Linked DNA regions of Saccharomyces cerevisiae S288C. The gene in region 1 interacts genetically with each later gene. Each region holds a gene or a part of one and is shown on either strand. Other genes may lie near its edges. The genes, in order: RGD3, RHO3 and SMY1.

Evidence for each region.
Region 2: of RGD3 (region 1) and RHO3, changing one suppresses a phenotype caused by changing the other (phenotypic suppression), as found in Saccharomyces cerevisiae (one study listed by BioGRID).
Region 3: of RGD3 (region 1) and SMY1, a mutation in one rescues a mutant of the other (synthetic rescue), as found in Saccharomyces cerevisiae (one study listed by BioGRID).

The regions. Positions count from the first base shown.
Region 1 is NC_001140.6:463,917-471,945, forward strand, and holds RGD3 (Rgd3p), read left to right. Parts: upstream 1-4,302; coding exon 4,303-6,660; downstream 6,661-8,029. Other genes in the region: YHR180W (uncharacterized protein), read left to right, coding at 1,262-1,753; SVP26 (Svp26p), read left to right, coding at 3,312-3,998; phosphogluconate dehydrogenase (decarboxylating) GND1, read left to right, coding at 7,044-8,029. UniProt on the Saccharomyces cerevisiae protein: GTPase activating protein (GAP) for RHO3 and CDC42 that binds membranes through phosphatidylinositol 4,5-bisphosphate. Plays a key role in cell polarity. Modulates the RHO3 distribution at the plasma membrane and its polarity during growth.
Region 2 is NC_001141.2:133,212-144,222, forward strand, and holds RHO3 (Rho family GTPase RHO3), read left to right. Parts: upstream 1-6,540; coding exon 6,541-7,236; downstream 7,237-11,011. Other genes in the region: QDR2 (cation transporter), read left to right, coding at 1-661; QDR1 (multidrug transporter), read left to right, coding at 1,206-2,897; RPI1 (Rpi1p), read right to left, coding at 3,443-4,666; pheromone-regulated protein PRM5, read right to left, coding at 7,402-8,358; HIS5 (histidinol-phosphate transaminase), read left to right, coding at 9,717-10,874. UniProt on the Saccharomyces cerevisiae protein: Plays an important role in cell growth. Required to keep the uninucleated state. Modulates morphogenesis during bud growth via directing organization of the actin cytoskeleton and the position of the secretory machinery for exocytosis.
Region 3 is NC_001143.9:280,299-292,516, forward strand, and holds SMY1 (Smy1p), read left to right. Parts: upstream 1-6,304; coding exon 6,305-8,275; downstream 8,276-12,218. Other genes in the region: HOT13 (Hot13p), read left to right, coding at 211-561; ribosome biosynthesis protein RRP14, read right to left, coding at 727-2,031; TEF4 (translation elongation factor EF1B gamma), read left to right, coding at 2,593-2,797, 3,124-4,157; VMA5 (H(+)-transporting V1 sector ATPase subunit C), read left to right, coding at 4,732-5,910; DHR2 (RNA helicase), read left to right, coding at 8,547-10,754; PSG1 (Psg1p), read left to right, coding at 11,155-12,218. UniProt on the Saccharomyces cerevisiae protein: Possible microtubule-based motor that can interact or substitute with myosin 2 (MYO2).

The DNA.
Region 1 (8,029 bases):
GTAAATCCACAAAATGGAATCGGTCATTCTACATCATGAATATTAATTTACCTTCTTTCCTTTTATATGCTGTCATTCATCATCCTATTACATTATCAATCGTTGCATTTCAGCTTCCATTAATTTCGACGACTGTGTCCCAATCCTATGTCATCTTCTTACACCGCGTGTAATAATATAGTAGTAACATGACTACTAGTCACTATATGGTAGTTTATTTTTATCACAACAGATTGAAGTGTGCAGAGTTTATATCCCTGCGTTTTATATTGATTAGTAGCATAATGTAGGAAGTTGATATGAATCTGAGAGTGTGACCATATGGTGGTAGAAATGAGTTTAGGTACAATATTAAATGCGATGTCAAAATTCCAAAGTATACGCTCGCACCCACGCCCACTTTCTTCCAATATACTACGATATAAATTTATGTTACTATATGTGCGACAGTTTCTACTGCAGACGTGGATTGAGAACACGTAAAGTTTGTGCTGGGTAGAAATTGAAAGGATATCCCCTTAACGGCTGTGCTACCGTTTATGTTCGTCCTTATCCTCTCCTGTTAAACTGTTATAAAAATCGTTACATATCTTGCATTCTGTGACCAAGTATTTGTTGGCCTTAGATTTATATTAGGGCCATTGCAATTAAACTGGCTTCAGTTCTCAATGAACGAAGGATTTTTGGCACGCTAAAACTGGTGTGAAGGTATTGCACATTCAAATAGGCTCTTTTATTGATTTGTCTTGAAAGCTTTTGGAATAAGATCTAGAATAAGGACTACCCGAAAAAGAACAGGATACCCAGTAAAAACGCTATTGGGTACCTAGAGAAGCTGGTTTGTCACTGTCCACACAAAATGCCCTAATAACATTCTGAAAGGTTCTGACCGTACATCTTCGCCTGCGGTTGCATTGAGGTCGCCTCGGTCATAAAGTGAATATGCGACCCGATGGTTGCTCAAATGTTAAATGCAGGTAAAAAATAAGACCCCAGGAATTAAATAGTAAGATTTAATATATATATATATAACGGGCACAATTCGTTCATCAAACATGCAGCGGAGTTTCAAATTTGCTATAATATAGAACATGTTTAATTCAACCAATCGAAACGTACAGGCGCACACTATATTCAAGCAGTAAAACTACTATCTGAACATTGAGGTCGAATATATATATTATAGGCATAAAATCTCCTACCAAACTTGCATCAAACCTCTAAAATTACTATTATATATTCAACTTATTTAACGTGCCCAATGGAAATGCACTGGATAACCCTCGTTGCATTTATTGCTACATTCTTCAACCTAGCTGCTACCTCGATCAACAATAGTTCCCTCCCTGATGTTGATCTTACTAATCCTTTGAGATTCTTCACTAACATTCCAGCAGGACTTAATTTTAATGAAGTCATTTTTCTCGAAAGAAACGGATTCTATCTTGGTGGAATAGACTCTCCCTCAATCTACCACTTAATAAATGGTACAGCTGTGTATTTTGGGGATGTCAGAGATAATATCATGCCGGGTACAGTTGGCACTACTAGGAATGTTACAGATGTCGACTATGGCTCCTTACTGACAGAGTATGGTTATGAAGCTAATACAGATTATGTCTCGCGTTGGATCGCCACTCATGTAGTAATCTCTCCATTGAATGCTACAGAGTTTTTCCAAACACCCGTGCCAGTACCAGTGCCAGTGCCGATAACAATACTGCACCAACAGGTGAACTCAAAACTACATTAGTCAGGACCCGTTCAGCCCGTTAATCGTGGGAATCTCTGTACTGAGGGTCAACTAGTGTATGCGACTGTGATTCAGATAATACCTTAAGCGTCGAAACCTCATACCCCCTCATCTGGCTCGGGAGCCAGTATACTATATATATATATATATATATATATATATATATATAAATTCCTAAAATACTCTCACACAGAAGCACAATAATGAGTGACGCAAATGCAATTTATGACTAATTCATCACCAAAGAGAAATATGCAGCGTTAACTCTCAATCTAAGAATATGTAACAGATTTTAATCTCACGAACTAGCGACTTTAATTGTTGTACCTTATTCCTTAGTAACGTTAGTAGTGTCTAATATTTTACTAGACGGTGCCACGATTTCAGAGATGTTAGATCAAAATTCCTTTCTTAAGAACAAGGATATGGCAAAGTATGGTAAACAAGACGTACAAGAGTGTTAAAGATAATGCATAGAACACGCTCAGTGTAAGCAAGATTAGTACAACTGCTGATCTGGAGCCAAGACAACAAATATCACATCCCGTTTGTCATGTTAAAGATAGCTTATCATAAGTTAGCTGAGACACTCAACCTCATATAAAACAAAAACTGATTATTTTGGTGAAATAATGAATCTTAAAGCTTGATAGTATTTGTATTGAATTACTACTCACAAACTATTTAAAACATCAAGCCAAATATATGCGGAGCACAGAGAAATATTTGTGAATTATATCTTTTGTTGGAAAGACAAGCAACTATCCTAGCGACATTAGGATTGCCAAGACATCCGGTTTTATTCAGACCCTTACATCAGCAGCAGCACGTTCCATCTTTTCAAACTTCCTGCCAAACATTTATGAAGACATGAAACTCTAAAATGTCATCTATTTATAGTAGTCATATTACTATTATATTATTACATGCGGTGTAAGAAGATGACATAGGATTGGGACACAGTCATCGAACTTAATGGACGCTGAAGTGCAAGGATTGATAATGTAATGGGATAATGAAACATATAAAACGGAATGAGGAATAATCCTAATATTATCATGTAGAAATATCGATTCCATTTTGAGGATTCCTATATCCTCTAGGAGAACTTCTAGCATATTCTATATACCTAATATTATTGTCTTTGTGAACAATGGATTCCCACAAATTATCTCAAAATTCACAAATATCTCATTCTCGCATTCCAACAGTTATGTTACTCATTCTATTCGTTTGTTATGTGTGTTTTATGAACGTTTGGGATGACGTATTGTCATACTGACGTATCTTATTTTGAGATACAACATAGTTGTATTTTTAGCCTCCTTAGCTTAGTGGTAGAGCGTTGCACTTGTAATGCAAAGGTCGCTAGTTCAATTCTGGCAGGTGGCATTATACCGGTATTATTTTTTTTCCCTTTGTTCTTATTTCTCTATCATTTATAACTTTATGATTTTTTAAAGGTTGAATGGTCAATGTGAAAATTAAAACTAAAAACATATAGTTGACAAGTGAGAAAAAGAGCAAAAGGGAGAAAAGAAATTGTTAGAATAAAACCATGCTGTTAGAATTGATTTCTTATGCAGGAACCGTTTCAGGGTTTCTTTTTTTAACACTTTCAATTGCATCGGGTTTATACTACATTAGTGAACTTGTTGAAGAACACACAGAACCCACAAGACGGTTTCTCACAAGGGCTATTTATGGTATAATATTAATATTAATTCTGCTACTGTTACTAGACGGTTTCCCGTTCAAACTTACACTTTTTTCCATTGCATGTTACATAGTATATTACCAAAACTTAAAAAGTTTCCCATTTATTTCGTTAACCAGCCCAACTTTCCTATTAAGCTGCGTATGTGTGGTCTTGAATCACTACTTCTGGTTCAAATATTTTAATGATACGGAAGTTCCCCCACAGTTCAAATTTGATCCAAATTATATACCACGCAGACGTGCTAGTTTCGCTGAAGTAGCCTCATTTTTTGGTATATGCGTTTGGTTCATACCATTTGCCTTATTTGTTTCTCTGTCAGCTGGTGATTATGTGCTACCAACGACTAGTGAGCAACATATGGCTAAGAAAAATGATGACATCACAACGAACAACCAGCCAAAATTTCGTAAAAGGGCTGTTGGGTTAGCTCGTGTAGTCATCAACTCGGTAAGGAAGTACATCTACTCTCTAGCCCGTGTATTCGGTTATGAGATAGAACCTGACTTTGATAGATTGGCTGTTTAGGATTGCCTTTTTTTTTAACATGTAGTTAGTTTTTCTTTATTTGAATATTCTAAATAAGAAATATGTGTAATGCTCTGCCAACTATTTTGCACAGGAAAGAAAAATCACCAATACAATACTACTATATTTTACCCAAGTTAATACGGGAAAGTATATTTTCTTTTCCATATTTTTCTTTTTTATTGACGTTTGCATTTTTTAGAGCAACTAGTAAACAAAAAACCAGTCAGGCCCAGTAGATTAAGTATTGTCATTACATAGACAAAGGCAAGAGAAAGAGAGCATTTTCTTTCGGTCTCTAGTTATGTCTGTTAAAGAGCATAACGAAGAAGATATTATTGGTGATGAATTACAGAATTCGAGGCAACTCTCCATTGATTGCGACTCAGTTAAAATTTCACTAAGGAACACATATTGGACCAAAGACTATACAACAGGTATCAAATTATTCATAAAACATATGAAGAGAGAAAATGATTTGCTGATTAAAGACATCAAATTTTACAATGATTTTGTCAACAAATTTTGGAAACCAACATTGAACAATTTACAAAAAATGGAAGCAACCAATTCAATGAATAGCAGGCTGCTGGAAGTGATGAGCAAACAGTTTAATATAATATCAACAGAGCAAGTTGAAAGAGATTGTAAAATTCCATTGCAAGAACTAAGAGATCTTAATGAGAGCTTCCTTCGTGAGGCAGAAAACGATTTGTCATCTCGTTATTCAGCTTACATTAAGGATTTAGTCGCAGCTAAAGAGGCACTAATTGGATGTGAGAAAAGAGTTCAGTCTATATATAAATTGAAAAAAGCCAATACGCCAGTGGAAAATTCTTCCTCTGTTTTTGATAATGGAAAGGATAGTGCACCGTTAACCAGGTTGAACTTCGTATGCGAGTTTCCTTACACTTTAGACGAGAGGTTAAAATTTGAGGATTGCGACCAATTTATGTCATTTTTGCAAACCTTGAAGGGAAAAGTCATCCTGGAGAAAAGTGTCTTTTCCGTTCCAGGATTGTCAAATCAAAGTTTCCAAGGCAGGTCATTGATCAAAGAATTGAAAAAACTTGAACCCAGACTAAACCTGTCCTTATTTAATATCGATAGGATAGGTAACGAATTCATCCAACTGGGTATAATACAAGAATATTCCCTGAGTTTTTACTCTAGCAAAGTTTCTCAGTTTGACCAGGAAAAATACTATTACTGGAACAGTGAAGTCCTTGCTACGCAAGAGAGTAATGGTAATGCTGGAAACAGAAAAAAAAAATCGTATGGTGAGTTAACACACTCCGACAATGAACACGAAGAAAAGTCCAACGTTTCATCTATCAAAACATCTATATCCGATTGGATCCGCAAAGTTAGTCAACATGATAATGATGATTGCGATGCAGCGGGAAGTACAGATATGAATAAAAATGAGTGGAAGAGTTTAAAACAGCAACTTGAATCATCACAAGATATTTTTTTCTCCAAGTGTTGCCAGTTGGAATATTCTAAAGTGCAGTTGGAAAAAACCATTTATGATTATTGTAAAAATTACTCTAAAATGGAGGACGGAATCAAACGAGCTCTAGAATCATCAAACATGATGTTTCAACAAAAATGTGAAAAATTTACTGACTCACCTGTGTGTTCTCTACAAGAAGCACAACTGCCACAGGAAACTGCCAATGCGGATGTAAGAGGGTTTTTCCTCAGGGATAATGGCATACCCTTTCGCAGGTGGAATATCCTAGAAGCGAGTGATCCAGTCGACGCTTGCAAAGAAATCTCCATAAAAAGCGAAAAGTTTTTCTGTGGTAGTGAAATAAATAATGAACTGGCTGCTCTTGATACGTTAGGGGCAATAAAGATTATACTGCGGCAGATTGAAAAGGAACCAAATGCTAATAAAGTCATACAAAGTTGGCACAGGGATATTGATTTTGTAAGGGTTTCTAATTTGAAAAGAGACTTATTGGGGGAATTCAAAGGATCGAAAACTACCGAAAATACAAACTCTATAATCACTGCTCATTTTTTTGAAAACTCGCACAGCTATGTCACTAATGATCTCGTCGGACTGATAAAATTATGGCTGTTAGAGCTACCCGACAGCCTAATACCTTCAAACCACTACGATGACTTAATTAAGGCCGAAAAATCGCTAACATCCCTATGTGAACAGTTTCCGACGAGCTCCTTAAGGTTTCTACAAGAACTAGCAAACCATTTTCAATTGATCAATAGCAAATACTCACTTCCGCCGCAAACAATACAAGATTTGTTTAGAGACAACAGTGACATAGACATACCATTGGCCCATCACTTCGTAAGAAGAACAGGCTTACAGAACCCTATCGACATCAAAATCTTGTCACCAACATTATCTACATTTTTCATCAACGAAAGAACTGTAGAAACTTTGCAAACGTTGATCGCAAACAGGATCACGACGGCAACTACTGCGACACTCACTGAACCGCCGACGATAATTATAAAGGATACAACGGCACCTATACACTCTACCCCTAAGCCACCGCCAAACGACAAGGATGGCCATTTCATACCTCGGCCATTCAAGACTAGTTCTACTCCGACAACCCCAGAGAGACCTAAACGTAAGAGTGGTTTATTCCTTCCCATCAACGTCAACGATGTCCCTTCTACATAACTCCATGCATGCTACATAGTAACTACGTAAATCACCTGCTACCTCTCTGTTCTTTCGTCCCGCCTCGAGGTTGTGCTGCTTTTGTACCTATTGTGGCTGTCGGTGTTACATTACGGTGCCTCGGTGTTACGCGGTGCTTCGTCCTGGTGGTCCACGCGGCCTTGCGCTTTGGCCTTGGTGGGCTTCGAGGCTGTATTATATAAATGGGCCTGATGTTCGTTAAAAGCTGCAGTATTGTTCCTGAGCTTGTTTCTTTTTCAAAGGTTTCCTTTTTTCTTAGTGGGGTCCTTTCTTACATAATAAAGTAAATAGCCTGATACATATAAACCTGTATTGTTGCCATTACAGAAAAAAGCCACTTTCTATACAAAAACTACAATAAAATGTCTGCTGATTTCGGTTTGATTGGTTTGGCCGTCATGGGTCAAAATTTGATCTTGAACGCTGCTGACCACGGTTTCACTGTTTGTGCTTACAACAGAACTCAATCCAAGGTCGACCATTTCTTGGCCAATGAAGCTAAGGGCAAATCTATCATCGGTGCTACTTCCATTGAAGATTTCATCTCCAAATTGAAGAGACCTAGAAAGGTCATGCTTTTGGTTAAAGCTGGTGCTCCAGTTGACGCTTTGATCAACCAAATCGTCCCACTTTTGGAAAAGGGTGATATTATCATCGATGGTGGTAACTCTCACTTCCCAGATTCTAATAGACGTTACGAAGAATTGAAGAAGAAGGGTATTCTTTTCGTTGGTTCTGGTGTCTCCGGTGGTGAGGAAGGTGCCCGTTACGGTCCATCTTTGATGCCAGGTGGTTCTGAAGAAGCTTGGCCACATATTAAGAACATCTTCCAATCCATCTCTGCTAAATCCGACGGTGAACCATGTTGCGAATGGGTTGGCCCAGCCGGTGCTGGTCACTACGTCAAGATGGTTCACAACGGTATTGAATACGGTGATATGCAATTGATTTGTGAAGCTTATGACATCATGAAGAGATTGGGTGGGTTTACCGATAAGGAAATCAGTGACGTTTTTGCCAAATGGAACAATGGTGTCTTGGATTCCTTCTTGGTCGAAATTACCAGAGATATTTTGAAATTCGACGACGTCGACGGTAAGCCATTAGTTGAAAAAATCATGGATACTGCTGGTCAAAAGGGTACTGGTAAGTGGACTGCCATCAACGCCTTGGATTTGGGTATGCCAGTTACTTTGATTGGTGAAGCTGTCTTTGCCCGTTGTCTATCTGCTTTGAAGAACGAGAGAATTAGAGCCTCCAAGGTCTTACCAGGCCCAGAAGTTCCAAAAGACGCCGTCAAGGACAGAGAACAATTTGTCGATGATTTGGAACAAGCTTTGTATGCTTC
Region 2 (11,011 bases), on another chromosome or scaffold:
CACAGCTTTGAGTAAACAATATCACTTGACTGTTGCAAAGGTAGGATTATGCTACCTTCCCTCCGGTATCTGCACATTATGTAGTATTGTCATTGCTGGAAGATATTTGAATTGGAATTACAGGCGCAGATTAAAATATTACCAAAATTGGTTGGGCAAGAAGAGATCAAAGCTTTTAGAAGAACACGACAACGACCTTAATTTGGTGCAACGTATCATAGAAAATGATCCCAAATACACCTTTAATATCTTCAAGGCGAGGTTGCAACCCGCATTTGTTACCTTGCTTTTAAGCAGTAGCGGATTTTGTGCGTACGGATGGTGCATTACTGTCAAAGCCCCTTTAGCGGCCGTTCTTTGCATGAGTGGATTTGCGTCGCTGTTTTCCAATTGCATTTTGACTTTTTCAACAACTCTAATAGTTGATCTTTTTCCCACGAAGACATCTACGGCTACGGGATGTTTAAACCTTTTCAGATGCATTCTATCTGCTGTGTTTATAGCTGCATTGAGTAAAATGGTAGAAAAAATGAAATTCGGAGGTGTTTTTACATTTTTGGGGGCTTTAACCTCCTCGTCATCGATCCTCTTATTTATTCTCTTGAGAAAAGGTAAAGAATTAGCCTTTAAGAGGAAAAAGCAAGAACTGGGAGTAAATTAAGAAGTAAAGCTTCTTGAATCAAAGGAAAATGTTCCTTTTGATCGCTCCACTACCGAGAAAGAGGAATTGGTGTGATAAGTCTTCTCAAATAGAAAGTAATAGTAAGTATTTTTTTTTTTTTAATCTGAACTCTGTAATAACTAAAATTAGAGTTAGCAGCACGATTCACTAACATAGAACGGCTAGTACTGAGTTTTGCCTTTATTATTCTCCGCCATTTTTTGCCAAGGCCGAAAATATGCTGGAGGTGCGAAATTCGGAGATTCGGGTTTCATGTTTCTGGCCCGGTTGTTAACGGACCCTTTATCTCATCTTCTGATCTTGGAGTTTCTTCTAGTTGATAAAACCATGGTGAAGCTGAAAGGTTTGAAGAATCTCTATCACTGTAGCAAAAAAATCTTCTTACAACAAAAAAAGTAAGCAAGCAATCAGCGTTCAAAGGAACTTATTCTTGCTTAAAAAAAGTGATAATCTCTTAGCACTACCATCTTCTATTAATAAAAAAATAACAGATAGCTCATGAAGAGACTTCTATAAGTAAATCATGACCAAACAACAAACTTCTGTAATGCGTAACGCATCTATAGCCAAGGAAGAACGTGAAGGATCTGATAATAATAATGTGGACAGATCCAGCTCAGATGCCATCAGTGACAACGACGCAGAAAGATCTAATTCTCATTCTGAAATAGATAACGAATCAAATTTTGATATGGTGCCTTATTCAAGGTTCAGCCATAAGCAAAAAATGCTTCTTGTCGTTCAGTGTGCCTTCACAGGCTTTTTTTCAACCGTGGCAGGGTCTATCTACTATCCAGTGCTTACTATTATTGAGAGGAAATTTAACATCACAGAAGAGTTAGCTAATGTCACTATTGTGGTTTATTTTATTTTCCAAGGGGTGGCTCCTTCAATTATGGGTGGTTTAGCTGATACATTTGGAAGGCGGCCTATTGTATTATGGGCAATCTTAGCCTACTTCTGTGCCTGCATCGGACTGGCATGTGCACATAATTACGCCCAAATCCTGGCTTTAAGGTGTTTACAGGCAGCAGGTATTTCTCCTGTTATTGCAATAAATAGCGGAATAATGGGAGATGTAACGACAAAAGTAGAGAGGGGTGGATATGTTGGATTGGTTGCAGGGTTCCAAGTTGTTGGAACTGCATTCGGTGCATTGATTGGTGCCGGATTATCCTCGAAATGGGGTTGGAGGGCAATTTTTTGGTTTTTGGCTATTGGTTCCGGAATTTGTCTAGTTTTTTCAACCTTATTGATGCCAGAGACAAAAAGAACTTTGGTGGGAAACGGCTCCGTAACACCAAGGTCATTTTTGAATAGGTCTTTGATATTGCATGTTGGTTCCGTAAAAAAAACATTACATTTAGACGATCCTGACCCTGAGACCTTAGAACCACGTACTAGCGTGGATTTTTTAGCACCTTTAAAAATTTTGCACATACGAGAAATAGACATTTTATTGTCCATTGCCGGCCTGCAATTTTCCACGTGGACCACTCATCAAACAGCCTTAACAATTGTATTGAGTAAAAAGTACAATCTATCTGTTGCAAAAATAGGCCTGTGCTTTTTACCTGCAGGAATCTCGACACTGACAAGTATTATCTCTGCTGGTCGGTACTTAAATTGGAGCTACAGAACAAGAAAGGTTAAATACAACAGATGGATTAAAGAACAAGAATTACAGCTGATGGAGAAATATAAAGGTGATAAAAACAAGGTAGCAGAACTTATTCACTCTAATTCTCATTATGCATTCAATTTAGTGGAGGCAAGGTTGCATCCAGCATTTGTGACACTTCTTCTCAGTAGCATTGGCTTTACTGCCTTTGGATGGTGTATTTCGGTGAAAACACCGCTTGCTGCTGTATTATGCACAAGTGCATTTGCAAGTTTATTTTCAAACTGTATTTTGACCTTCTCTACTACTTTGATAGTAGATCTCTTTCCGTCTAAGGCTTCTACCGCAACAGGTTGCTTAAATTTATTTAGATGTCTCCTATCCGCAATTTTCATTGCAGCACTGACCAAGATGGTCGAGAAGATGAGATATGGAGGTGTTTTTACGTTTTTGAGTGCTATAACTTCATCTTCATCGCTTTTATTATTCTATCTCCTGAAGAATGGGAAACAACTATCGTTCGATAGGATTAGGGCAAATGATAAGTCGGCTGGAAGGTCAGTTGGTAAAAATTCAGAAAAAGTTTCGACGTGAAGAAAAAAAGTCGTAAAACTAAAAAGTCTCTGCCCCCACTTTCCAGAAACAGATATCTATATTTTATAACAAAGACGTACGGCATCATTTAAAGTATCTAAAATTTCTTTGAAGAGATCACATAAAAAATTTTCACCTTCTTTTTCTCTTTTTGGCTGTCCAAGTAAACAAAACATAAACTGCTTCAACCAAAGATAAAACTTGAGAAAATCCAAAATGAACAATAAGGACATTTCTTGGTGACAGATTCGTTAAGTTTCATTATTTTTTTCACTTATTTTATAGAAAAAAATCGGATGTTGAATGGGCATAAATATAAATGTATATATAAGTAATATTGTCTTGTTTCCCTGGAGAAGTAAATGAAAAATGAAATAGCATACAAAACAGACATAAAATTTAAAACAGAAATGAAATGAGCATTTAAAATTAATTAAAAGGTGAAACGACGAATTGAAAATTATTGATGAGGGTGAAGGGAAACAGGGAATGTGCTAGAATTAAAGGGGTAGAAAATTTATGGTGGAGACTTCCCGATACATACTTTAATGTTGTTGCATAAAATTTTCTGAGTCTGAAGTTGACATATTATGCAACGGTTTATTTTGTTGGTAAAATTTATGGTTTAATTGCTTAACTTCATTTTTTAAGCAGTTTACTTGTTCCTTTAAATTTTCAATAGTGTTAAACATTGTTTGCCACATGTATATGACATCTGTAGAGAAAACTGGGGAAATTTGTTCTTGTTGTGCATCGCGCGGTAGCTGTATAGGCATTGTTTGCTGGAAAAATGGCGATGGTGGAGTTTGCAGGATTAGATTGTCTGCCGGTGCTGATGACAAAAGGGAAAATTGAGCCGGGCTAATGAAGGATGGTTCTCCTTTGGTATCCAAAGCTGGCAAAGATTCTAATTTATCGAGGTTGATACTTGACTGAATATGCTCTGGTGTACTAAAAACATTAGTACTATGATTACTATTCCTATTAATATTATTGCTATTATTATTGTTGCTATTGTTACTATTGTTAATATTATTATTGTTATTGTTACAATTATTATAATAATGGTTATTAATATTATCATTAGTACCATTCTTGTTCGGCTTCAATGTTTTTTGCGACTTGAGTATAATGTTTCCGTTTACAAAACTAAAAGTGTTTTGTAACTGCACTAGCAAATACTGCATTCTAGATAATTTTGACGGATCAAAATTTAAGTTTGAGCCTGCCTCTTGTTTTGATTTTTTTTTCTTTTGCTTGGATTTCTTTGATGGATGCACTTTCAAAGACTTTGTGTATAAGACTTTAAATCTATCATGACATTGACGAGAGTTTCTCTCGTACCCATATTGTTGGAATAGGATTTTTGAAATTTTTTTCCAAAAATTCTTCATAGGCTTGAAATATTCTACGAATGTTAGTAATTGAGAATTATTCATTATTGTAGTAATGAATGCTATATCCTCAGGCTCTTTCCATTTTTTCCTTATCTGTCTTGCAGACGAGGAGGATGAATTAGAGTTGTTTAGCTCATTTTCGTCAATAGAGCCTGAGTTGGAGTTGGAGTTCGAATTAGAATTGGAGTTCGAATTCGAATTTGAACTGGAAATTATTCTTGGAGTAACTAAAGAGCAGTCCGAACCCGTTTCTTCATTAAAATTTGAAGTAATGGGTGTGTTTAAATTTGGTGAATAATCAGGGAAATTTTTGCTTATAGTGCTAGACTCATCCATTAGGTTCAACTTCGGTTGAAGATATTCCAAGTACATTTTATAAATATCAGTAATAAAATGATGAGAAAAAAAAAAAAAGACTTAAAAAAAAGGACTGAGAAATAGTTAAACGAATACGATAATATGATATACTACCATGAACTGTAGTCTGGATAACCAAACGGAAAAAAAGGAAATACAAAAAAAGTCAGATTGTAAGGAAAAAAAAAGAGTAGTTTCAGTATTACGAAAACTATTAGATCTTTCTTTAATTTGAACAAGAAAACAAGACTATAAAAAAAAATACTCTTTAGGATGCAGACATAAAAGAACAATACGACCGTCCCTTATTTATATATAGTCCATAGAAATAATCTCAACCAATATAATATGCAAGAAAATAACGAAGTAAGGAACAAGCACAATGGTACGCCCGGTCTTGAAAAAGTTTAAAACAGTACTCGACCCTAGGCGCTAGGGTGGGTGACGCATTTTAACTTTGCAACAGAATGCCATATGCGGTGTTAACCTCACAAGATCGGCTCTACTATCTGCAAGCTGCGGCAAATACCAGAGAAAATTCCATTCCCGTCGACAAAATTTAACCGACCCCCCCCCCCCCCAATTTACGTTTATCAGCTAATCCAAATGTGGAAGGGCAACATTCTCGACGACTCCTTTTTCCGTAATTTAAGTTTGCCCAGGCAAAATCTTATACTTGTTTTCGTAAGAGAAAGATGCGCAGATCCTTTAAGGTTACCTTCAAGCAAATCCAGAAGCACAAATGGCAGGGGAGAAAAGACATGAAGCAGGAGTAGTCAACCGCAAAAACCCCCGCGGGCTTGTTGTTCTGCACATTTTTGATGTGTTTGTTCCTAAGACAAAGTCCTAACTTAGGGTAGTAAGTGACTATATTCTGCACGCTCTTAAAGCAGCCACCTCGTTTAATTTTGCATGCTTATATAAGCTTATAAACGAAGTACCTGAGGACCTGCATCGGCCGGCCCATGTGAAAAGGAAGTATTTACTTTTTCTTCTTCTTTACTATGGAAATAGCTGGAATCCGACTATGCATATGCGTAAGAAAAGAAAATGAAGGAGTTTTCACAGGAAAGCACACTTGCATACTGGGCACAAGTGAGGAGAGGGGCCTGTAATGCTTCTGTGTTTAAAAGACTCCGAAATTAGTCAACGCAGATTTGCAGATGCACGCAAGAATACATAATCAATCACAGTAAGCACATCTCCCCAAGGAAAGAGTAAATGCCTTCGAGCCAGCATTGTGGTCATGCGAGATGTCTAAGAAAAATACTTCGATAAGCACGAGGAAATGTAATATGTCTATCTACCTTATTTTTTTTACAATAAACATATAATAAATCCCTTATCTGGTCACGTGAATTAAACTTCGGGTGTGTTGTAAGAATGGAAGGAGTAAGCGAAACTCAAATTGAGGCCACTTACCACTTCCGGTCGAGCCCGGCCCAGAACCAGTCGTCGGCCAACTTTTTTCTTGGAACAGCGTTACCGCACCTACGCGAGAAATAGTAGATTATAGATAAGAAATACAAGGAGAGGGGTGTGGATGAGCTTTTTTACAAAATAGTGTAAGGCGTCCGGGAAACCCCAAGAACGTTTTTTGACATCCACTAACAGGATTACCCGTCATAGATATACTGGTGCCATTACCCGTTAATGGCATCTTGTATATTTCTTTTATCTTTCTTAACATTCCTGAAAATTGGTAAACAGTAAAAAGAAAAGAAAAAGAAAGAAAAAACATGTATTATTTTGAATTTACTGGAAAATAGGCAACCATTGATTTTCGTTTTTTTATCGTTCTCATCTCTAGCTCTGGTCAGCATTTTTTACTTTATAACAACAAGTTTTTCATTAAAATCCATAGTAGCACAAGGTAAAGGGAAACAAACATGTCATTTCTATGTGGGTCAGCTTCAACGTCAAATAAACCGATCGAAAGAAAGATCGTTATTTTGGGCGACGGTGCCTGTGGTAAAACTTCGTTGCTGAATGTTTTCACCAGAGGTTATTTTCCCGAAGTTTATGAGCCTACTGTTTTTGAAAACTATATCCATGATATTTTCGTTGACAGTAAACATATCACGCTATCGTTGTGGGATACTGCGGGCCAAGAGGAATTTGACAGGTTACGATCCTTGTCTTATTCAGATACGCAATGTATAATGTTATGTTTCAGTATTGATTCACGCGATTCTTTAGAAAATGTCCAAAATAAATGGGTGGGTGAAATCACTGATCATTGTGAAGGCGTCAAGTTAGTCTTAGTTGCACTAAAGTGTGACTTAAGAAACAATGAAAATGAATCTAACGCAATCACACCGAACAATATCCAACAGGATAACAGCGTTTCTAACGACAACGGAAATAACATAAATAGCACCTCAAACGGCAAAAACCTGATAAGTTATGAAGAAGGTCTAGCTATGGCTAAAAAGATCGGTGCGCTACGTTATTTGGAATGTAGCGCTAAGCTGAATAAAGGTGTCAACGAAGCTTTCACAGAAGCCGCAAGAGTTGCTTTAACCGCGGGCCCAGTAGCAACCGAAGTGAAAAGTGACAGTGGATCCAGCTGTACCATTATGTAATATAATAAGACACGGACGCACACACAAAAGAATAGAACCCAAAAAGAGAGACTAAACAAATAATATAATAAGTTATAGAAGTTAATAATACTCCTACTATTTTATATTTTTTATGTAATTACTACCACTGCTTAAAAAAAATATTGCAAAATATCATAAAAGTTTTTACTCATCCTGTTCTTTCCCCTCCAGCATGTGCTCGAGATAAGTCGAAGGTGTAGGTTTTCTTTTGGACTGTACGACCAACAAATTACCCTTACTATGGTTACGATTTACGCTACCATCACTTTCTGGTGAATTAAGCAGCTTTCGACTTGGTGAAGATGCAATTTTTGCGGGTTTCCTTATGTCTTCACCCACCTCCTTTTCATTACCGTTATCGAGCGACGATGCGGATGATGAAGAGATTGTAGACACCAGAGAATTTGTAGATACATTATCACTTGTCATAATCACAGGTTTCTGTAATAATCTAGGGCTTTCTTGGTAAAGTTTAGATAGCCTTGTTTTGTATAAGATATCACCTGTTGGTGAAATGAAAAGTGAATTTCTGTTGGATTCGGATGCAAGAGAGAATAGCGGCCTTTCGAAATTACTTAAGAATGGTTTTTCATTATTAGTATGAGATACAAGTGCATCTTTCACCGATTCATCCTTATTTCCGGGACTAATATCGGACTCGCTGATATGGACCTGATCTTGGAAATTTTCTTTGGCGGGATAATCCATATATGGGGAATCGCCGTAAAACTGGGTATGTTGTGTGGAAAACATCTTTGATTCGTAGTCCTGAACACTTCTGGTCAACCTATGCGAAGAATAAGTTGTTATTACCCACCATAGCAATATTGCCAAAAAAATCACTCCCGCGATTCCCCCCACTACAATGAAAACTGTTCCATTAGGCATATCCCCGGAATCCAAAATATAAGGATTACCATTTCTAGAGGGAGGAGTAATACTTGGTATAATAGAAGAGGATGTAGAGTTGGACAAAAGTGGTAAAGAAGATGAAGAAGAAGCAACAGATGTTATCGTACTACTTGAACTGGCAGTTGTTGTCGAAGAAGTGGAAGTGGTTAATTTTGGAAGGCCTCTCTTGGCAATGGTGATTACTGTCATTCTTGCGTTTTGAGTGTCAATTTATTCTATTTTCAACGACCTTTTAAAGTAATAATGAGTGCTCTTGACTTAACTCTAATGCTATAACTGTTTCTTTGCACCGATGCGTTCCTTTGAATGATCTCAGGTAATATATTAAATATTTTTCAAATGTCTTTACCACATTCTTCAGTAATACATTTTCTCTCTAATTTTTCATTTTCCATTTTCCATTTTATTTTTAGAACGTGTGACAAAGTTGTTTCAAGAACAATATAGAATTCTTAGCCAAAAAGAGAAAGCAAGAAAATTAAACTTTATTTGTCTAAGAAAAGCCCGAACAGCGAAACCGATCACTTCCCAGGATCGGAAGGTGTCACTTTGCGCCTTTTGCTCCGCCGCTCTTTCGTCGGCGTTCTTTGCTTCCCTGGGCGCTGTCGCATTAAGAATATCATGTATATTCAGGAACAAAGGTAAATCACCTATAGACGTGCGCCGCAATAACCCTGCTAAGAAAATTCATTTAAAAAACTTACCTGCCAGTCTTGTTGTTTACTCAAACCACATACTATGATTATACTTTTGTCAGAGTTATGCGATGCCGCTTAAGCTTTGATTAAGAATTTTTTTCTCTTCTTTAAGTATGCCGTGCACTTTTCGCTTCTCCAAAATATGACCCAATACTCATTTGGTTATTTTTACCAAGTAATCGATCAGATAGCATTAATAGCGTGAATATTTGATGGAATAACATATTAGAAAAGCTTTAGCTGGCAATTCTTGTACTGTCTTTCGCCGAAACCTGTTTGATGACTACTTCATCAATTTTTTTTTTTTCTGCCGCATTCCAAAGGTCATAACTTTGCAAAAATAAAGGGTAAATGGTTAAAAATTGTTATCATAAATAAGGTGACCGGTTATATTGAGACCTTTCCTGGACAGTAACTAATACAGAAGCCATTGGTAATGCAATAATTTATTTGATCATGTGACTACGATCCGGGTGAGACTATTCAAAAAAGGAGTCAAGCATTGAAATAATTAATGACTAATCCGAAGTTAATTGTTAGGAGTCAATTGTTTTTTCCAATGAATGGAATCTGAGATGACTAAACTACCAATTTTCAATAGTTCATGGTATAGTGACGTAGTTAGTGCTTTTTTTTCTTGGATCTGTTGACTCACTTCAATTGATGTTTCTTACCCTGACATGACATACTTGATATTTTATCTCTCACGTTATATAACTTGAAAAGGATGCACACAGTTCTGTTCAATATACCCTCCAATATGTAAAAACAGTTTTTCCATTGATTACTCTTAATTTGTTTCCTGCTAAACCAGCAGTACGTGTGTGCCGTATATATTAAAATTACACTATGGTTTTTGATTTGAAAAGAATTGTTAGACCAAAAATTTATAACTTGGAACCTTATCGCTGTGCAAGAGATGATTTCACCGAGGGTATATTGCTAGACGCCAATGAAAATGCCCATGGACCTACTCCAGTTGAATTGAGCAAGACCAATTTACATCGTTACCCGGATCCTCACCAATTGGAATTCAAGACCGCAATGACGAAATACAGGAACAAAACAAGCAGTTATGCCAATGACCCAGAGGTAAAACCTTTAACTGCTGACAATCTGTGCCTAGGTGTGGGATCTGATGAGAGTATTGATGCTATTATTAGAGCATGCTGTGTTCCCGGGAAAGAAAAGATTCTGGTTCTTCCACCAACATATTCTATGTACTCTGTTTGTGCAAACATTAATGATATAGAAGTCGTCCAATGTCCTTTAACTGTTTCCGACGGTTCTTTTCAAATGGATACCGAAGCTGTATTAACCATTTTGAAAAACGACTCGCTAATTAAGTTGATGTTCGTTACTTCACCAGGTAATCCAACCGGAGCCAAAATTAAGACCAGTTTAATCGAAAAGGTCTTACAGAATTGGGACAATGGGTTAGTCGTTGTTGATGAAGCTTACGTAGATTTTTGTGGTGGCTCTACAGCTCCACTAGTCACCAAGTATCCTAACTTGGTTACTTTGCAAACTCTATCCAAGTCATTCGGTTTAGCCGGGATTAGGTTGGGTATGACATATGCAACAGCAGAGTTGGCCAGAATTTTAAATGCAATGAAGGCGCCTTATAATATTTCCTCCCTAGCCTCTGAATATGCACTAAAAGCTGTTCAAGACAGTAATCTAAAGAAGATGGAAGCCACTTCGAAAATAATCAATGAAGAGAAAATGCGCCTCTTAAAGGAATTAACTGCTTTGGATTACGTTGATGACCAATATGTTGGTGGATTAGATGCTAATTTTCTTTTAATACGGATCAACGGGGGTGACAATGTCTTGGCAAAGAAGTTATATTACCAATTGGCTACTCAATCTGGGGTTGTCGTCAGATTTAGAGGTAACGAATTAGGCTGTTCCGGATGTTTGAGAATTACCGTTGGAACCCATGAGGAGAACACACATTTGATAAAGTACTTCAAGGAGACGTTATATAAGCTGGCCAATGAATAAATAGATTAATTTAAACAGTATATGTACAGTTTTATATATATATATATATATATATACATATATAAAGAAACCTGTGCGTTTTTTGTATTTTCAAATACATTTAGTTTTGGCGCCACTTCTATAAAAGGTCTCATGAT
Region 3 (12,218 bases), on another chromosome or scaffold:
AATTCATGCTATTCGTTGCTCCTACACCTTTTTTTCTTCCGTAGACGAGGAAAAACAAAAATGATTAAATAGGCGCGCGCGGTGTGATGGTGATGATAATGATGATGATGATGATAATGATGAATAAACGTTTCGGTTTACGAGTTTCTTTAAATATACATATATGATATAAAAAAAAAAATACGTACCACTTACAATTTGCAAATATAGATGATCGAAACTGCCATTTATGGTAAGACAGTGGATGACCAATCTCGATGTGTCCACTGGCATCTTCCAAAGGATGTAATTGCCATCAGGTTTAAATGTTGTGATAAGTACTATGCGTGCTTTGAATGCCACCAAGAGTTAAGTTCTCACCCGCTAGAAAAATATGATCTCCTTGACGATGCAAATAAACACTTGATTATTTGCGGAGTTTGCCGTCATGAAATGACGTTTGCAGAGTATTACGACTACAATTCAAACCTTATTTGTCCCAATTGCAGATCCCCCTTTAATCCAGGCTGTAAATTGCACTACCATTTGTATTTCCAGAACCCTCCCCCCGCTATGTGTTGAGTGTTGTTCTATAAATGCATGCCATCTTAAGCTCTGCTGTGCTCTTCTCGTTAAGGAAAAAATGCGATGGTATATATATAGATATATATATATATATATGTATCTGTATATATATGTTCATACATATATATATATCTATTATTGTTGTTATTATTATCGTGATTATTATTTAGGTCCTCCCTTCTTTTTACCTGTTTTTAATCTACCCTCAAATCCGGCTCTTTTCTTTGGTACGGCACTACCGACATACTTTCTTTTCATCTTTTCTTGCTTATTTCTCTTTTTACCCTTGTTGTCTTTCCTAATCCTCAGATTCTCTTCTCTTCTCTTTTGTCTTTCAGATATCGTGTCTTCCACAACCCTCTTACGTTCGCTCCATTCAATCGCAGACTTTCTCTTTTGTGCTTCCTTTCTCTTTATAGCTTTGCGAAGTAGTTTTTCGTCATCCCTAATCTTAATTCCTTCTGCTTGTAACATAGCCTTTTGCCATTTTTCCTTTTCCTTCTGCTTGATTTGTTCTAGTTCGTCTTTCGCCTCCATCTTATTCTTCTTGGCTTCTAATAACTTTAAGTGTGATTTTACATCATTCTTAGCCGGACCCTTCGTTCTACCAGCTTTTCTTAACCTTTGTAAATCTGAAGTGGCCCTTGCACCATCATCGAATATGATATTTTGAAACATTACACCATCTGCGTTAATTTCTGAGTCCTTCTTGCCTTTTTTGAATCTTTTTTTCGAATTGTTTTCTAAATCACTATCGATGTCTTCCATATCGGAATCAGACGCAATTTCATCCTGATCCTGTTCCTGTTCACTTTCTAGACGCTTTCTTTTTTTCAACTCTTCCTTGCGTTTCCTTTGAGCAAGAATAGCCTCTCTAGAACCGGGTGCTTTCCTTTTACTCTTCATATCTGAAATTTTCGCTTGTAACTTGGAACGTAGTGCTTCCAAGTTTTTCTTTCTTTGTAGTTTCTCTTCCTCTGTAATAGACTTCTTTTCGACAGATCTATCGGGCTCTGTAGTATCTTTTTTAGATTCTAATGGTATTTCATTTCCCTCATCATCAAAGATCACCTTAATATCCTCTTCCTCTTCTTCATCTTCGTCTGGTGCTATTATCATAGGATCGTTTACTTCTACGTTCAGGTCGGAGTCTCCTTCCACTTTTGATGTTGCTTCCTTTTGCTTTTGCATTTTCATGTGCTTGAATTTTTCACCAGGTAGGACCACCGGCTTTGCGTCTTTCTCCTTCTTCTTCATTACTTCTAATGTACTAGATGTTTCATCATCACGTTGCTCCGGGTCTAATTTTTTCAGTTTATCATTTTTACTCTGTTCTTTGGTTTTCTTCTTGGCCTTCCATTGCTCTTGACTTTTTTCATCATAATAGTATTTTGCAGGAATTAAAGCCAATAAACCATCGAAGGCGCTTGAATTAGCACGAAGGCGCTCCTCAAGTGAATTACTCATCTCAGTCTCCTATATCTTTCAATTCCCGGACTTTCTTTATCACTTGCAACAACGTCTCAGTCCTCACTTGTTATTCATCTCTTGGTCATCTCATCTCTTTTATTGTACTTTCCTCTTTTCTTTACCGGAGATGAGAATAAAAAGAATTCATTTTAAAAAATTTTCAATTTGGTGTCTGGGTGAAACTTTTTAATCGTGTAATCCCAATTAAACCACTCTACTTTACTTTAATTGGTACACGAACTCATTACACACCTTTGCCTCTATTGCTTGTGTCAATCGTGTTGAGAGAGGAAGCCCAAAACAAGGGAAATTAACCTCTGTAGGCAAGCCATCACATTTGGCAATAGCAGCCCTCATTTAATTTAATTCGGCATGTGGCCGGCAGGGTAATGCGCTCTGCTGCTGACAAAATTGAAAGAAAAATTTTTTTCATCAACAGTTTGCAATACTTTCTTTTTCATATTTAATTCATCCATTCCGTCGTTAATTTTGTTCAAAACTGGTGTCCATCCTTAATACCAACTCAATTCTTTGATTTTGGCCCTCGATAGATTCAAGATGTCCCAAGGTACTTTATACATTAATAGATCTCCAAGAAACTACGCTTCTGAAGCTTTGATTTCTTACTTTAAACTAGATGTCAAGATCGTTGATCTAGAACAATCTAGCGAGTTTGCTTCTTTGTTCCCATTGAAGCAAGCCCCTGCATTTTTGGGTCCAAAGGGCTTAAAGCTAACTGAAGCTTTGGCTATCCAATTTTATTGTATGTTCCATATTTTATTTTAACACTTCCACATACATTGTTTTGCGCGTTTCCCGTTCGTTTATTTGGCACGTCATTTTTCTTCGAAACATAATGATGAAAAAAAATTTTATCAAACAGTTATCCCTGTCTGAATGGGTAATAATAGGTAACCTCTCATATGTTGATATTTGTATTTCTGATATGTTTCTTAAAGAAAAATGAAAGTCAAAATAACAAAAAGGAAGTACAAAGCGTGTCCTAATCCAGGAAAAAATATAAAGGATTGTTTTACTAACATTTCTTCAATTAATGGTTGTATAACCATCGAGATGATGTATATTTAGTGGCTAATCAAGTTGCCGATGAAAAAGAAAGAGCTCGCTTATTAGGTTCCGACGTTATCGAAAAGTCTCAAATCCTTAGATGGGCATCTCTAGCTAATTCCGATGTCATGAGCAACATTGCTCGTCCATTCCTTTCTTTCAAAGGTTTGATTCCATACAACAAGAAAGACGTTGATGCTTGTTTTGTTAAAATCGACAACCTAGCTGCTGTCTTCGATGCTAGATTGAGAGACTACACCTTTGTTGCTACCGAAAACATTTCTCTAGGTGACCTTCATGCCGCTGGTTCTTGGGCTTTTGGTTTGGCCACTATTTTGGGCCCTGAATGGAGAGCTAAGCATCCTCATTTGATGAGATGGTTCAACACTGTTGCTGCTTCTCCAATCGTGAAGACTCCATTTGCTGAAGTCAAATTGGCTGAAAAGGCTCTAACCTACACTCCACCAAAGAAGCAAAAGGCTGAAAAGCCAAAGGCCGAAAAGTCAAAGGCTGAAAAGAAGAAGGACGAAGCTAAGCCAGCAGATGATGCTGCTCCAGCTAAAAAGCCAAAGCACCCATTGGAAGCTTTAGGAAAGTCCACATTTGTCTTGGATGACTGGAAGAGAAAGTACTCCAACGACGACACCAGACCAGTTGCTTTGCCATGGTTCTGGGAACACTACAACCCTGAAGAATACTCCATCTGGAAGGTTGGTTACAAATACAACGACGAACTTACCTTGACTTTCATGTCCAACAACTTGGTCGGTGGTTTTTTCAACAGATTGTCCGCTTCTACTAAGTACATGTTCGGTTGTTTAGTTGTCTATGGTGAAAACAACAATAATGGTATTGTTGGTGCCGTTATGGTCAGAGGCCAAGATTTCGCTCCAGCCTTTGATGTCGCTCCAGACTGGGAATCTTACGAATACACCAAGTTGGACCCAACCAAGGAAGAAGACAAAGAATTTGTCAACAACATGTGGGCTTGGGATAAGCCTGTTGTTGTCAATGGCGAAGATAAGGAAATTGTTGACGGTAAGGTTTTGAAATAATCTCAATAACTCTTCTTCCATATTTTCTTCCCAATATACATAAGAGTCAAACAAAACGAATTTTCAAAAGAAAAAAGAAAAAAACCCTGAAGTCTACTTCATGATTACCCCATACTTACGCGTGGTTTAATTCTATGTAACGATTAACGTCCATGTAATCATTATATATATATATATTGTAATAATCTCTCTAATTGAGTATCACAATCTGCTGCGGTTACTCTAACAATATTTTGCATAAACTTGATTCTTCTCTTCTTATTTCATGTTTCAGTGGGGCATTTTCCATTGTACTTTTGCAACAATAGCGAAAAAAACAATTTTCCGTAAAGAGAAGCGTCAGTCATAAACGGTGTATGTTACCCGAACTGGAATGAATTTTATCTTAAGACTGGAAAACAATTTAGGATAGAACTGAAGATAGTGCAACACGTCTGGTGATATCATGTGCTTTCAAGCAGGATTTGTCACAGTGCTTTAGAAACACAAACAAAGGAGGTATATAGAAGTTGCAGTTGCTAGAGTTTGTTTTCTTACCTAATTCTAGATCAATTCTTTTTTCTGAAAAAAAAAAATGGCTACTGCGTTATATACTGCAAACGATTTCATATTAATCTCGTTGCCTCAAAATGCTCAACCTGTTACCGCCCCTGGCTCCAAAACTGATTCATGGTTCAATGAGACCTTAATCGGGGGTAGGGCATTTGTTTCTGATTTCAAAATTCCCGAATTCAAAATTGGCTCTTTAGACACATTGATAGTTGAATCGGAAGAACTGTCTAAAGTAGATAACCAAATTGGGGCTTCTATTGGCAAAATCATTGAAATTCTTCAAGGCCTCAACGAGACCAGCACCAATGCTTACAGGACTTTACCTATCAATAATATGCCAGTTCCTGAATACTTGGAAAATTTTCAATGGCAAACCAGAAAGTTCAAGTTAGATAAGTCTATCAAAGATTTGATAACATTGATTTCTAATGAATCTTCTCAATTAGACGCCGACGTCAGAGCTACTTATGCAAATTACAACAGCGCTAAAACTAACTTGGCTGCTGCTGAGAGAAAGAAGACGGGTGACCTTTCTGTCAGATCCTTGCATGATATTGTCAAGCCCGAAGACTTCGTTCTTAATTCTGAACATTTAACTACTGTTCTAGTAGCAGTTCCCAAAAGTTTAAAATCCGATTTCGAAAAATCGTACGAAACTTTATCCAAGAACGTTGTACCAGCATCTGCCAGCGTGATTGCAGAGGATGCTGAGTATGTTTTGTTCAATGTTCATTTGTTCAAGAAAAACGTTCAAGAATTCACAACAGCTGCTAGAGAGAAGAAATTCATTCCTCGTGAATTTAACTACTCGGAGGAATTAATTGACCAGTTGAAAAAAGAGCATGACTCTGCTGCCAGTTTAGAACAATCTTTGCGCGTCCAGTTGGTAAGATTGGCCAAGACAGCTTATGTCGATGTTTTTATAAATTGGTTCCACATCAAGGCCTTGAGAGTTTACGTGGAATCTGTTTTGCGTTACGGGTTGCCACCTCACTTTAACATCAAGATTATAGCTGTCCCACCAAAGAATCTCTCTAAATGCAAGTCTGAATTAATTGATGCTTTTGGATTTCTTGGTGGCAATGCCTTCATGAAGGATAAAAAAGGGAAAATTAACAAGCAAGATACTTCTCTTCACCAATATGCTTCTCTTGTCGACACAGAGTATGAACCATTTGTGATGTATATAATCAATTTATAATCGATTTATAATACTAACTTAGATTAATATATATTTCTGTTTTTTTTTTAGAATTTTCAACTTTTTTATTCATAGAGATAATACACTGTGATTGTGAATGTTTGAATAGTAATGGAACATAATCCGATAAAATATGCTTTTGATGAACGATTAGACATTTTTCAATTTTGTCGTTGAGTTCCAATCCTTCCTTATTTATGGTTAACAAGGAAAGAGGTGGAAGTTAAAAAAATGGAAATTAAAAAAAAAAAAAAATCAAAAAAAGAAAAATAAAAATAGAAAAATTGGCACGGAAATCTACAGGATTTAGCACTAGTAGGGGGTTTATTAAGCACTACAGGTCGACTTTAAACCAGAAAAAATTATCATTCAGGGTAGGTGCAAACTTGTTAAAATGCACTGGAATATAATTTCGAAAGAGCAAAGTAGCTCTTCTGTATCGTTACCAACTCTAGACAGCAGTGAACCCTGTCACATCGAAGTTATCCTCAGGGCGATACCCGAAAAAGGATTACAAAACAATGAGTCGACCTTCAAAATAGACCCATATGAAAATACTGTGCTATTTCGCACAAACAATCCGTTACATGAGACAACCAAGGAGACCCATTCAACATTTCAATTCGATAAGGTATTCGATGCTAACGCCACTCAAGAAGATGTTCAGAAATTTCTGGTGCATCCAATAATAAATGATGTTTTGAATGGTTATAACGGTACTGTAATAACATATGGACCAAGTTTCAGCGGAAAGTCCTATTCCCTTATTGGATCAAAAGAAAGCGAAGGAATTCTACCGAACATATGCAAGACCTTGTTTGATACGCTAGAAAAAAATGAAGAAACAAAGGGAGATAGTTTTAGCGTAAGTGTTTTGGCATTCGAAATATATATGGAGAAAACGTATGACTTATTGGTACCTTTACCTGAAAGAAAACCATTAAAGCTTCACCGTTCTTCAAGCAAAATGGACTTAGAAATCAAAGATATTTGTCCGGCACATGTCGGATCGTATGAAGACTTAAGAAGCTACATTCAGGCAGTCCAAAACGTCGGCAATAGGATGGCATGTGGCGACAAGACAGAGAGATCAAGATCACACCTAGTTTTTCAATTACACGTAGAACAAAGGAATAGAAAAGATGATATATTAAAAAATAGTTCTTTATATCTGGTTGATTTACACGGGGCAGAGAAGTTCGATAAAAGAACTGAAAGTACGCTATCACAAGATGCGTTAAAAAAATTAAACCAATCTATTGAGGCGTTGAAAAACACTGTGCGGTCCTTGTCAATGAAAGAGCGTGATTCAGCCTACAGCGCAAAAGGATCACATAGTTCTGCTTACCGTGAATCGCAATTAACTGAAGTGTTAAAAGATTCCCTTGGGGGAAATAGGAAAACAAAGGTGATATTGACATGTTTCTTAAGTAATGTTCCAACTACCCTATCAACACTAGAATTTGGTGACAGTATTAGACAGATCAATAACAAGGTTACAGATAACACCACAGGTTTAAATCTGAAAAAAAAAATGGATCTATTTATTCAGGACATGAAAATTAAGGATGATAATTATGTTGCCCAAATTAATATACTAAAGGCTGAAATAGACTCTTTAAAAAGCCTTCACAATAAATCTCTTCCCGAAGACGACGAGAAAAAAATGTTAGAAAATACAAAGAAAGAAAATATCAAACTAAAGCTTCAATTAGACAGTATTACCCAATTATTGAGTAGTTCTACCAATGAAGATCCTAACAATCGTATTGACGAAGAAGTTTCTGAAATATTAACGAAAAGATGCGAACAGATTGCTCAGCTTGAGTTATCTTTTGATCGACAGATGAATTCCAATTCTAAGTTGCAGCAAGAGTTAGAATACAAAAAGTCAAAAGAGGAAGCCTTAGAGTCTATGAACGTTAGGCTACTAGAACAAATTCAGCTTCAGGAAAGAGAGATTCAAGAGCTTTTAACTACTAACGCCATCTTAAAGGGTGAACTAGAAACTCACACTAAACTTACTGAAACACGCAGTGAAAGGATAAAATCTTTGGAAAGTTCTGTCAAAGAGCTTTCTCTTAATAAATCTGCAATCCCATCTCCTAGAAGAGGGTCTATGAGCTCGTCATCAGGAAATACTATGTTGCATATCGAGGAGGGTTCTGAAATATCAAATAGCCCTTGGTCAGCCAATACTTCCTCAAAACCTTTAGTATGGGGCGCGAGAAAGGTTTCTTCTAGCAGTATAGCAACCACTGGATCACAGGAGTCTTTTGTGGCAAGACCGTTCAAGAAGGGATTAAACCTCCATTCGATAAAAGTCACTTCGAGTACTCCAAAAAGTCCCTCTTCTGGAAGCTGACTATAATTAAGTTCGATAATTGTACGATACAACTGTGTAGTATCTTTGTAATTATAATCATGATGATAACGCTAATAATTTGTACGTATAATGCTGACTGAAAGATGTACTTTTCTTCTACCGTTTTTCTTCGGCGGCTATTCGTTTACAATGATTTGGAAAAATGAGAAAAATTGAAAATAAAAAATTCTGCTCGATGAGATGAGATGAGGTTATGATATATATGTAAGAATTCCTCAAGAAGAGGTTGCAAGAGTCTGCAGACATTATCATGGCAGCAAATAGCAATAGTAGAGTTGCATCAAACCATACTTCTAAAAAACAAAAGGTTAGGAGGAATATACATCCATTCACGAATAACACTCGGATTAAAAGAGCTAGTAAAATCGTAAAGTTTAATGATTCAGGCGAGGGCGACCATGTTTCAGACCAACGTTCGAACAAGGAAAATGTCCTTACTTATAAATCTTTGAAAAGTCGGGCAAGCGATTTACTCAAAATGAGAGAAACACTTCCCGTTTACCAACACAAGCGAGAAATAATGTCATATATTGAAAGCAATCCCGTTACCGTCCTTATTGGTGAAACAGGTTCTGGTAAATCAACACAAATTCCGCAATTCGTATTAGAAAAATTATATGATACGAAGAAGCATGGGTCGATTGCTGTAACTCAACCCCGTCGTGTTGCGGCCATCAATTTGGCTACACGTGTTGCTCAAGAACATGGTTGCAAACTGGGTGAACAAGTAGGTTATTCTGTCAGATTTGACAATACGACTACTACAAGAACAAGACTTAAGTATCTGACTGACGGTATGTTACTTAGAGAACTTATGATGAATAGTGACCTTAGAGAATACAGCGTCATCGTTATCGATGAAGCGCATGAAAGAACTGTGCTTACAGATTTGATATTGGGGTTCTTAAAATCCTTGATACAAGGGCCAAGACCTGATTTGAGAATAATTGTTATGTCTGCAACATTGCAAGCCGAAAAATTTAGTGAGTTCTTCAATAATGCCCCAATCTTATTTGTAGAAGGAAGAAAATTTGATGTCAAACAATACTACTTGAAGGCGCCAACAGATGATATAGTAGACGCTGTCATCAGGTGTTGTATACAAATAAACCAAGGTGAAGAACTGGGAGATATCTTATGTTTTTTACCGGGCCAAGAAGAGATTGACAAAGCAGTGACTATAATGGAGAAAATTGCAAAGTATGTTTCAGATGAGGCCCCAGTACCATTAATAGTTCCTTATCCTTTATATGCAGCTCTTCCCGCGGTCCAACAGTCCTTGGTCTTCGCTCCGATAAAGGGTTTCAAGAGAAAAGTCGTCTTTAGTACCAATATTGCAGAAACATCTGTTACCATATCCGGTGTTAAATTTGTCGTTGATTCTGGTCTTCGAAAAGTCAAAGTTTGGAGACATCAGCTGGGATTAGCCACTCTACTTACCGTACCCATTTCTCAGGCAAGTGCGATGCAGAGAAGTGGTCGTGCTGGTAGAGAAAGTGAAGGAAAGAGTTTCAGGCTTTATTGTGAGTCTGATTATGTGAAATTACCTAAACAAAGTGAACCTGAAATAGCCAGAAGTGACGTCACATCTCCTGTGTTAATGTTGAAGAGATATGGTGTTGATGACCTGCTAAACTGGACCTGGTTTGAGAACCCTGGAAAGGAAGCTATAGTAATGGGGCTTCAGGAACTTTATGAATTGGGTGCTCTTGACACTCGTGGAAAGATAACTAAACGGGGTCAACAAATGGCTCTGTTACCGCTACAACCGCATTTAAGTAGTGTCTTAATTAAAGCCAGTGAAGTCGGATGTTTGAGTCAGGTCATTGATATCGTCTCTTGCCTTAGTGTGGAAAATTTACTGTTGAATCCGTCACCAGAAGAAAGAGATGAGGTGAACGAGCGTCGTTTGTCCTTATGCAACGCTGGTAAAAGGTATGGTGACCTTATCATGCTGAAAGAGCTTTTTGATATCTATTTCTACGAACTAGGGAAAAGTCAAGATGCAAGCTCTGAAAGAAATGATTGGTGTAAAGGATTGTGTATTTCGATACGTGGGTTTAAAAATGTAATTCGTGTCAGAGACCAGTTAAGAGTTTATTGTAAGCGTTTGTTTTCTTCAATCAGTGAAGAGGATGAAGAATCCAAAAAGATTGGTGAAGATGGCGAGCTAATTTCGAAAATTTTAAAGTGTTTCTTAACTGGGTTTATCAAGAATACAGCTATAGGGATGCCAGACAGGTCTTATAGAACTGTTTCCACTGGAGAGCCGATAAGCATTCATCCATCATCTATGCTATTTATGAATAAAAGCTGCCCCGGTATAATGTACACGGAGTATGTCTTTACTACGAAGGGATATGCCAGAAATGTTAGTAGGATTGAACTTTCATGGTTACAAGAAGTTGTCACTAATGCAGCCGCTGTAGCAAAGCAAAAAGTTTCTGATTCAAAATAAGTCACCTACTCTTAGCGCATTTTTATTGTATATAAAGGCATTTAATGTAATTTATAGAGCATTATAAATCGTAACAACTACTGCAGTATGAGTTTCATGGATTCATTTCTCAATATCTTATGAATATACACAGGTATATATGTATATTCATGTTAAACGCCTTTCGAATTGTTCGTTGGCTTTTTTTGTGAAATTATCTCGGGAAAAGGGCGAAATTATATTATTTTGCCGTTGACATTTTGAAAAGGAATAAAAGATCATGAAAAAAATAAGAAAGGCAATTCGACGCATTTCTCTCAGCAAGCTATTCTTTACTTTTGAAGAACAAAATATTTTAGCAAAAAGGTTAAGACAATATAGTCGGAAGCAGTTCTGCGGGATCTGAAGGAATTGCGGAATAATGAGATTTCACGATAGTATACTTATCTTCTTTTCTTTGGCATCGCTTTATCAACATGTTCATGGTGCAAGACAAGTCGTTCGTCCAAAGGAGAAAATGACTACTTCAGAAGAAGTTAAACCTTGGTTACGTACGGTTTATGGAAGTCAAAAAGAATTAGTCACTCCTACGGTCATTGCCGGTGTCACTTTTTCTGAAAAACCAGAAGAAACACCAAATCCATTGAAACCTTGGGTATCTTTAGAGCATGATGGTAGGCCAAAAACCATTAAACCAGAAATCAACAAAGGTCGAACCAAGAAGGGAAGACCTGATTACTCAACTTACTTCAAAACGGTAAGTTCCCACACATATTCTTATGAAGAATTGAAGGCTCACAATATGGGCCCTAATGAAGTTTTTGTAGAAGAAGAGTATATTGATGAAGATGACACCTACGTCTCCCTGAATCCTATTGTCAGATGTACTCCTAATCTTTACTTCAATAAAGGTCTAGCAAAGGATATCCGCAGTGAGCCATTTTGTACCCCTTATGAGAATTCTAGATGGAAGGTTGACAAGACTTACTTCGTTACTTGGTATACAAGATTTTTTACAGATGAGAATTCCGGTAAAGTTGCTGATAAGGTTCGTGTTCATTTGTCCTATGTTAAAGAAAACCCCGTAGAGAAGGGCAATTATAAAAGAGATATCCCTGCAACTTTTTTCTCTTCCGAATGGATTGATAATGACAACGGTCTAATGCCGGTTGAGGTCAGAGATGAATGGCTGCAGGACCAATTTGATCGTAGGATCGTTGTATCAGTTCAGCCAATATACATATCAGATGAAGATTTCGATCCACTACAATACGGTATTTTATTATACATCACTAAGGGTTCAAAAGTGTTTAAGCCTACTAAGGAGCAACTGGCTTTAGACGATGCAGGTATAACAAATGATCAGTGGTATTATGTTGCATTATCTATCCCTACTGTCGTGGTGGTATTTTTCGTCTTCATGTACTTTTTCTTATATGTCAACGGGAAAAACAGAGATTTCACAGATGTTACTAGAAAAGCTTT